Linked DNA regions of Sus scrofa. The protein of the gene in region 1 interacts with the protein of each later gene in a pairwise test. Links are inferred from orthologs where the notes say so. Each region holds a gene or a part of one and is shown on either strand. Other genes may lie near its edges.

Region 1 (4,347 bases):
CCATATGCCACATGTATGGCCCTAAAAAGACAAAAAAAAAATTCCACTCCTAATTTAGCAGTTAAGGCCAATTCATACCTGTTAGGATATTTGATTTTTTAACTACCTTCTCTTATCTGCTTACTAGGTATCTTCTGGATATTTTACAGCATAAGCAAATGAATGAATATGTTAAAGAGAAACCAGAAGTTTCAGATAAAGCCACGTAACATACTAAAGGAATTTTGTGGGAGATAAAGGCCTTTCCTAACCCTGACGTGACAACTTCCCAGGATTAAGAGACTGGGACTTTTCAGATATGGAGAATAAAGGTGATTGGGAAACCCTAACAATAATATTGCTCCCCATTCCTTTTTTTGTGTCTGTGTGTGTATTTTTTTAGGGCCACACTCGTGGCATTTGGAGGTTCCCAGGGTAGGGGTCTAATTGGAGCTGTAGTGGCTGGCCTACACCAACAGCCACAGCAACGCTGGATCCTTAACCCAATGAGCAAGGCCAGGGATCGAACCTGCGACCTCATGGATACTACTCGGATTTATTTCTGTTGAGCCACAACAGGAACTCTGCTTCCCTATCCCTGAGCATGCTGGCATTCAGATGATTTATAAACTAAACTTTGTTTATAAGCTTTCCTTTGGGGAGAAAACAACCTAAGAACACAATATCTAATTAAAAATTCCTCTTAAAAAACCCCTTTTTTTTTTTTTACAAAAGAAAGTGTCCAAGATAATGTGTCATTAAAATAGAATCCTAGGGTTATTTAGCCTGAAGCTCTGAAAAATTTGTCAGAATCCAAAATAAAAGTTTCTTAGGAAAGGTGCACTGAAATTACATGTACTGTTGAAATGCCAGTGAGGAGAGATTTATTAAAGACTTTTAACAGACAAAAATAAATTTTATATTTAACTTTATATTCAGAATCACCAACTCATATTTAACCTGCCTTAAATTTAATAGAAAACAGCACTAATTTGCTCACCTTTGGGTCATAGTCTGGATCATTTTCCTCATCTCCTTCTTCTTCCCCTTCCTATATTAAAGTTCAAAATGCATCCATGAAGTAGGTACATAGTAGGAAGAAATGGCTCATAATGTAGGGAGAATTTAATACAAGTTACTCTATAAGTCAACAGATTTTCATGATTACAGAGTTTGGAGACAATGCAATTTAATTTGAAAGCTTCTAATATGAAAAATTTCCCAACACAACTTGAGACATCCAGACAGGTTTTATTGAAAAGATTTACTGCAGCCAACGTTGAAAAAGTTTACTGCAGCTTTTGACTTCTTCAAAGAGCTGATAACCCTGCAGCAGAACAGAATTATTTGAAATAAAAAAAAGTTCTGAGTTGTGCAATTTATTTATTGAAACCTCATACATACATTGTTTTTGGCTGTAGAATTCTAAAATCATATTTTTTTTTCAAAAATGTTTTTATCCCGTATCACAGAATTAATGATTATAGCAAAGGAATACATATCACTCAATTTGCTTCTCAATGTGTTAAACAGAGAATTATTTGCTCATTTGGTAAACATTACCTCATCCGCTTCTTCACCTTCTTCATCATACTAAAAAAGGGAAAAAAAGAATGACATTTGAATGACGCTAACAAACATCTGAAAGCTGCATTTAGCTATCATCCCTAAGGTGACTGATAATAAATTAAAACAAGGACAATACCTGTAGGAATCACTAAGCTCAGTGCCATTATCTAAACCTACCAATTTTAAGAACTCAGTATAATCTTCAATAAAGTGTGATCAGATAACTATGTCGGTAATACTTCTTGCCTGTACTTTGTGGAACACATCACACATAAAAGACCTGAAGCCTATTTGAATGATGGCCATTTAACAACAAAAATATTCAAAACATTTGACAGCAGCCTAATTTTTACCTTAATTGTTACTTACTATTCCTATGAATAAAGATTCCATGCTTCCTAATGAAGATTTTTATCTGAAAAATGTCCTAGGTTGTTTTGTTTGGTCAAAGACATGTACTGGATTTACAACACTAACCCAACATAGTAAAGTTTTACTATTTCAGAGTAGCCTTCCTACTAGGAGGAAAACAAAAACTATAATAAATGAACCCCCAAATCCTAGGAGGGCCTCTTTAAGACAATTCAGGAAAGTTATGTAATCAGCCTAATTTTGAATTATTGTATCTTTATAAAAACTGCATCCATTCATTAAAACTCTCACCTACACTGACTATCATACCCTCACCAAAATGACTTCACTGCATGACTCAGACTCACTTACATCATCATCATCATCTTCAATAGCTTCTCCGGTAAAGTATAACACTGATCTAGGGATTATACGCTCACGTAAAAAGTGACCAATTTCAAAGTCTGCAGCAAGGATGGCTTCAGCATCATCATCCTGTTAAAGAAAAATAAAAGCTTACACACACGTAAAAACAACACAAAACCCAACTTAGTTATTTAATTTGGTATATGTGGGACTGTTGGGTTTAAATAACATGCAGAAATTTCCAACTTCATTTTTAACTTTAAATTTTTAAAATTAGCTTACATGTTCATGACCAAATGTCATCTACATATACCCAAGGCTTATAGGCTTTTGACATGAAGAAAATAAGTTAGCAGGCCAGTGTACTTACTCGAGAAATTGTGTGAAATAAAAGCTAGAACTGGTTAACATTTAGTTTTTTCTAGCTTAAAAGATACAAAAACAACTTTGTTTTATGACTAATTTTCTTTTTAAAATCATTATTGAAAACACCAAATGGAACAATAAGAAAGAATCTCAGGCTTTTATAAACAACATCATGCATACATGACATAAAAAAAGAACACAGGATCACTTCACAGTTCCTCAAAGACAAGATCCAAGCAGCTATGTAATGCCAAGTGAGATGTAGTCCTACTGATAAAGGTTAAGTCAGCCTAGGATTTCTATTTAATGGCAAAGTACAGTCCAGAAATGCTGCTAACACTATTCAAAATTAAAATTATCTCAGCATTCCCACTGTGACACAGCGGGTTAATGATCCAGAGTTGCCACAGCTGTGGCTTAAGTCACAGCCGCAGCCTGGACTTGATCTCTGGCCCAGGAACCTCCATACACCACAGATGCAGCAGAAAAAGGAAAAAAAAAAAAAAATTAAAATTATCTCATTTAAGTTCTGTAATACTAAACAATGAGTAAATATTCTGTGAATTTCTGAATGTGTATTCTGATTCATCAACATAATCCACTCTAATAACAATAAAACAGTGAGAGGAACAGACTTTGAAGGAAAGAGGTCTAATCACAGGCAGGGGTATTTTATCTATAACTGTTCAAGACTGTTTTGCTACTATCATCATTATTTGGTGAAAGACTTAAACCAAATTCAAAACATATCTAGCCTACCCTGCCTGTGTAGCTTTCTTCTTTAAGGTTGTTCCTTATTCTAAGCTATTTGCCAAGCACATATAAAAAAACCAAATTTCCCCTGGAATAATAACCACAAAAAGAATCCTAACCAGAATGTGGCTAGAGTTTAGTATAGTACTGTATAAATAAATGACTTAATATATTATAGTTTCAACAAGGAAGAAAACTATTTTGAAAACTGACTGAACATTTGAATCCCTGACAAAGTATTTGCCAGTCTGAAGACAAAGGAAAATCTTTAGCCTTTCATCATTTCTCAGTGGACACACAATTTTTTTTTTTTTTTTGTCTTTTTGCCATTTCTAGGGCTGCTCCCTCGGCATATGGAGGTTCCCAGGCTAGGGGTCTAATTGGAGCTGTAGCCACTACCCTAGCCAGAGCCACAGCAACACGGGATCTGAGTGGCGTCTGCAACCTACACCACAGCTCACGGCAACGCTGGATCCTTAACACACTGAGCAAGGGCAGGGATTGAACCCGCAACCTCACGGTTCCTAGTTGGATTTGTTAACCACTGTGCCATGATGGGAACTCCAGAATTTTTTTAATGGAATAAATTTTCAGACACGTAAAGTCCTTCCTCCATGCACTACAAGCCTCACAACAAAGTGCTAGTGGCAACTATCCCACTCCCCAACACTTAAGAACCAGTCTTTTGACTGCATATGTAGTAAACAATACAACAAATAAGTAACAATCCAGCTTACCAGATCTCCACTCTCAGGAACTGCAAAACAGAGAAGAGAAATTCGAATGAATAAAAACTTAAAGCTTTTAATCAAACAACCATAAATACCCAAAATAAAATACTATTTACCTTCAGGAGGGGCAAAAAAATTAAAGAAAGAGTCATTGGAAACTGTTTTGGTCACAGTACGAACAGTTCCGCGTCCCTTGTGTTTCTGCTTCTTCTTAATGGTTTTCAAAGTGACA
Region 2 (4,869 bases), on another chromosome or scaffold:
CCGGGCCCGCGCAGATCCTACAATAACTCGGGGCCGAATAGTTCCTACAATAACTCGAGGCCGTGGGGACCCGACGACAACTCGGGGTTGAGGCGGCCCTACCATAACAGAACGGCCCGGGGGCCCGGAGCGGCCCCGCCACACGGGGTCAGTGTAGGCAGGGACGGCGCGGGCGGGGGTCGGCTGGAGGAGGGGGCGAGGGGCCCAGTCCGCTGCAGGGCCTCTGGTCCCACTCTGCTCTCCCTCAGAGAGCGCTGTAACTTGATCCCCGGAAATTCCTGGGAAAGGGCCGCCCCCCGCCCCTCTCCCGGCAGCTCTCAGCCTCGCAGCCCGCCCTGGCCTCCCCCTCCTCTTCTCCCCCGACCGCTGCCCCAGCAGAGGCTCCCCCCGCCAGACGCCTCACGTGGCACCAGGCCTGCCCCCACCCAGGTTGGAATCTGTCCAGTTCGGGATCCCCCGGGTCTCTCTCCTCTGCACCTCCGGTGCTGGTCGGAGCCTCCGTGGGGACCCTTACCCAGCCGAATTGGTGATGGGGAATCGGTGATTGCTGCGCAGCATCTGGTTGTGCCAGGAACCAGCGGGAGGGGAAAGGGGGAGAGAAGGGGCCCTAGGAGAGGCGGCGCTTCCCTCCTCAACTCCAGGCCCAGGGCATGACTCATATTGTCTGCCCCCGCTCGCCCTTCTGCCCTGGGAGGTGATGGTGGGGAGCGCAGAGGGGGTGTCAGGGTCGGAGTCAGGTGCCCACCGAGGAGAGAGATGTCCGAAGTCTGGTGCCTTTTCCTCCAAGGCTGATCTGTAGATTGGGGGGTGGGGGCGAAGACCAAGCTGCCTCCCTCGATGGAGGGTAAAGGAGGGCTAGGAGAACCCAGGATTCCGCACTTTGGAGCGGTCACGGCTCTGGGCCAAAGGTACTCCTCTCTGGCATGGGCGTTCTTTGCTCTGACCCTATTTGAATCTTCCCCGCCCCCCTTTCCTTTTTACAGTCTGCAGTCTAGAAGAGGGGATAGCACATATCAATCTCACCTTCAAAGGGGGAACTCTGATTCCAAGAGGGGACGGGAGGGCAGAAAGGCTGTGTGAAGTGGGGTAAACACAGTCCCTCAAAGAAGCAAACCTGAGCATAACTAAACTGCTCTGTGTCAAGAACTGAATTTGAGGATGCAAAGATGACTGGAGCAAAGAGACTACTTGGGAAGGTACTGTGGAACGAAGTTATTCCCCCCCCCCCAAATGAGTGAATCCTGGAGAAATCTGAGCGCTAGGTGTTTGGAATATTGACAGTCTCTTAAAAGAGTATTATTGTGAAGATGCATGAAATCTGTCACAGGTAAAGGGGAAGATGTGGCCGCCTCCTACCCTCTCTTGACACTTAGCTCCTCCCTTCTGCCCCTCTGCTCCTCCCCTCTGCCTGACTCGACTTTTTCTGCCAAGGAATCACCGCGTTATAAATAAGCCATGTCCCCTCTGTCGACCTCAACTTCCACAGACGTTGTCTAAGGGAGTTGGACTGGACAAATTCTGCTCGAATGTTATAGAATTTTGCTTCACTCTCCCTAAGTCAATTTAACTACAATATATTAATTCCGTTTGCAGTGTTACAGTTCTTGGAACTGTAATTCTCTCCTCTAAAGTTGCTCAAGACGGGAAGCGTTCAGACCCTTGCAGCCGCGGGCTACACCATCCACCCGCCGCAGCAAACACGTGTCTCCAAAAAACTACAACCCCCATGAAGCTTTAGTGTCTGACATTAAAGAGGGGTGGTGCTAGTTTAGTCCCTCTCGCGAGGAAGTTAAATCTACCATTCCCGGCGGGCGCCGCGCTGCATATTATCCAATCAGCCTTAAGCAAAAAGAATCGCGAGTCTTCAGTGAGACTTGGCCCTATAAGCCCGTGGGAACAGGTCTTAGAAACCCTTTTCACGAAGATGGCGCCGAAGGCAAAGAAGGAAGGTGTGTGCTGGGGCTTGGGGTTCCACAGCTGACTGTCCTGGGATCCCCGTAAGCAGAGTGAACCGACTGGGCCGACTGGGAGGACGGTGGCAGGGCCAAGCCTTTGGGTGTCTGCTCCGGAGCGGCTCCTCACGTTTCGGCAATGCTGAGGAGCGCGTGGGCCCAGCCGCATGGGCTGGGTTCGGTGAAGGGGTTAGGGGAGGCAAGCCTGGCCGGCACCACCTGCCCAGGACAGCCAGACAGTCGGCCCTGGGGAGCTCCATGTCTCCAGGCCTGTAGAGAGTCTGTACCCTGAACTTGTTTTTCCTTTTTAACCCCCATGTTAAATGGAGCTGTATACCTTCCCAAGATGGCTGTGCGGTGGTATATATAAAACTATTAGTTCAGGTTCTGGCAGTTAGCAAGCGTTCGATCATTGCTAGTAAATTTTTTTCATCGTAACCCAAGTTCGCCCTAGTGTCGTGCATATGATGGAAAAACTTGAACTTCCTGAGGCTTGTGATGTCTTCAAAGGAACCACTGATGCACGTGTAGCCTGGGGCGCCCACTACTGGTCTTGAGGCCGGAAGCGATCGATTTCTGTATCTCTTGCACTCTTCATTTTCTTTATTTCTCTCAGCCCCTGCCCCTCCCAAAGCCGAAGCCAAGGCAAAGGCTTTGAAGGCCAAGAAAGCAGTGTTGAAAGGCGTCCACAGTCACAAAAAAAAGAAGATCCGGACGTCACCCACCTTCCGACGGCCCAAAACACTGCGACTCAGAAGGCAGCCCAAATATCCTCGGAAGAGTGCCCCTAGGAGAAACAAGTCAGTACTCCCCGGTACTTATGAAAAGATGTATGGGTGTTCTCTGTTGGTAGTTTGGATATTTACCAAACCTAGAGCATGGCTTCTCAGAATCATGTTGGTAATTTAGTGGGTTTCTGTAATGGGTGTGGGAGGAGATGATTTAAGAACAAAAGGTGTTTTGGGAATATTGGCAGGAATTGTTGTTTTAAACCCAGAGTCAGTGTCAAGGTTAGGTAATTTTTAGGTTAATAATTGCTTCCTGCGTGGTCTACTTTCTTGTGAGTGTAAAAGTGGGGCTTAAATGTTCTTTGTTCTGGGGTTCCAGGTTTAGGTTGTTCTTCATTGCACCTACTGCTGTAGGGAATAGTCCTTGAAGTTGAGGGTGTGGGGTTCTTTTTTTTTTTTTTTTTTTTTTTTTGTCTTTTTTCTTGGACCGCTCCGGAGGCATATGGAGGTTCCCAGGCTAGGGGTCCAATCGGAGCTGTAGCCATCGGCCTACGCCAGAGCCACAGCAACGGGGGATCCGAGCTGCGTCTGCAACCTACATCACAGCTCACGGCAACGCCGGATCCTTAACCCGCTGAGCAAGGGCAGGGACCAAACCCGAAAACTCATGGTTCCTAGTCGGATTCGTTAACCACTGTGCCACGACGGGAACTCCTGGGTTATTCTAGATTGATGAGATTCATTTGTCTCCACTGTGAAGGCCTGTAGCAGCTTTTTTCACTCACTTCTTTACACTCAAGGAATGGTCTGGCAGAGTGGGCAAAAGGTTAGGGTGCTTGATAGTTTTGGTGTCACACTGCTAGTAATGACTGGCCTTAAGGAGCACAGTTTAGAGTAGAGCCATGGTAGTAGTTAACCACCAGTGAGGACCCACTGCTTTCAAAGAAAAATAGTATGCTCTTGGAGAAAAGGACTTGATAAGGCTTTTTACCTCCACTTGAACCTAGATTTAGCAAGATGAGATGTTGAGATCTTACCTTTAGCTTCAAAACAGGACGATGTATCCAGGCAAATAGAGCCTTGCTTCTCTTTAAGTTTCAGGTGGAAAGATGTGTTGGGTGCGTTCAAGCTGCTGAATCTTTAACGTGAGCTAGCTGTAAATAAAAAGCTTTTAGAATTGATGGCCTGGGATTTCCTGCTGAGGTGCAGTGGTTGGTTTAAGGACCCTAATGCAGCGGCTCAGGTCACTGCTGGGGTACAGGTTTGAACCCTGGCCTGGGAACCTCCATGTGCTGCGGGCGTGGCCATAAAAAGAAGGAATCCATGGCCTGCAAGCCCTCGGAAGGGGCAAAATAATTGATTCTGCATCATGGTGAAGCATTAACATTCTTTGGAATCCTAGCCTGGGTTTCAAGATTCTGTGATATGTGTATTTTGGGGTTATCTAACCTCTTAAGTCTTGGGTTTCTTCTAGAAATTTGCCCTTCAGAAATGTTGAGGTCAGATAAAGAATGAAGACGTCTGGAACTCAGATCAGTGTTTAATCACTTAAAGGATGAAAGCCCTTCATAGGAAAGAGCACCAGGGTTCTGCCCCATGCTGAGCCTTCAGGTCCCCAGGCTTTGGGGTGCACATGATGACACCGTTAAGCGACCAAAGTCTGACAGAAATGATTGCTGCCTCGTTGTCTGATGCACTTGGGCTCCAGAAGAGGGCCCACCTTTTCTTTTACTGGGCCCAAGCCAGGTGACCCCTTTTTGCCTCTCCCAGGCTTGACCACTATGCCATCATCAAGTTCCCCCTCACCACTGAGTCAGCCATGAAGAAAATAGAAGACAACAACACACTTGTGTTCATTGTGGATGTCAAGGCCAACAAGCACCAGATTAAACAGGCTGTGAAGAAGCTCTATGACATTGATGTGGCTAAGGTCAACACTTTGATCAGGTGAGGGAGGTCCCACGGGGTGGGGAGGAGGCCAGCACCTCTGTCGGAAACCAGAAAACCTGAATGGAATGAAATTCTTTGATGCTGCTTTTGGGGTCAGAAGTAGGCTTTCCAGTGTGTAAGCCTTGAGAAGTGGGCAGTCCCTGCTACATTTACAGTCCCTTGTATGGAGTATGGATTTCGAACTGTCCTGCCTCTAGGGCTTGGGGGGATGGTGCTCATTTTCTTGATCCCTGTCTTTA

The links. The genes of interacting proteins can lie anywhere in the genome.
Region 2: the proteins of NAP1L1 (region 1) and RPL23A interact in binary tests that used the Homo sapiens proteins (3 or more experiments, as listed by UniProt). The link is inferred for Sus scrofa from reciprocal best matches to the Homo sapiens genes NAP1L1 and RPL23A.

The regions. Positions count from the first base shown.
Region 1 is NC_010447.5:39,332,474-39,336,820, forward strand, and holds part of NAP1L1 (nucleosome assembly protein 1-like 1), read right to left. Parts: coding exon 4,232-4,347; intron 4,142-4,231; coding exon 4,122-4,141; intron 2,395-4,121; coding exon 2,272-2,394; intron 1,573-2,271; coding exon 1,543-1,572; intron 1,307-1,542; exon of another isoform or gene 1,031-1,306; coding exon 980-1,030; intron 1-979. UniProt on the Homo sapiens protein: Histone chaperone that plays a role in the nuclear import of H2A-H2B and nucleosome assembly.
Region 2 is NC_010454.4:44,955,248-44,960,116, forward strand, and holds the start of RPL23A (60S ribosomal protein L23a), read left to right. Parts: upstream 1-1,603; 5' UTR 1,604-1,924; coding exon 1,925-1,949; intron 1,950-2,568; coding exon 2,569-2,752; intron 2,753-4,450; coding exon 4,451-4,627; intron 4,628-4,869.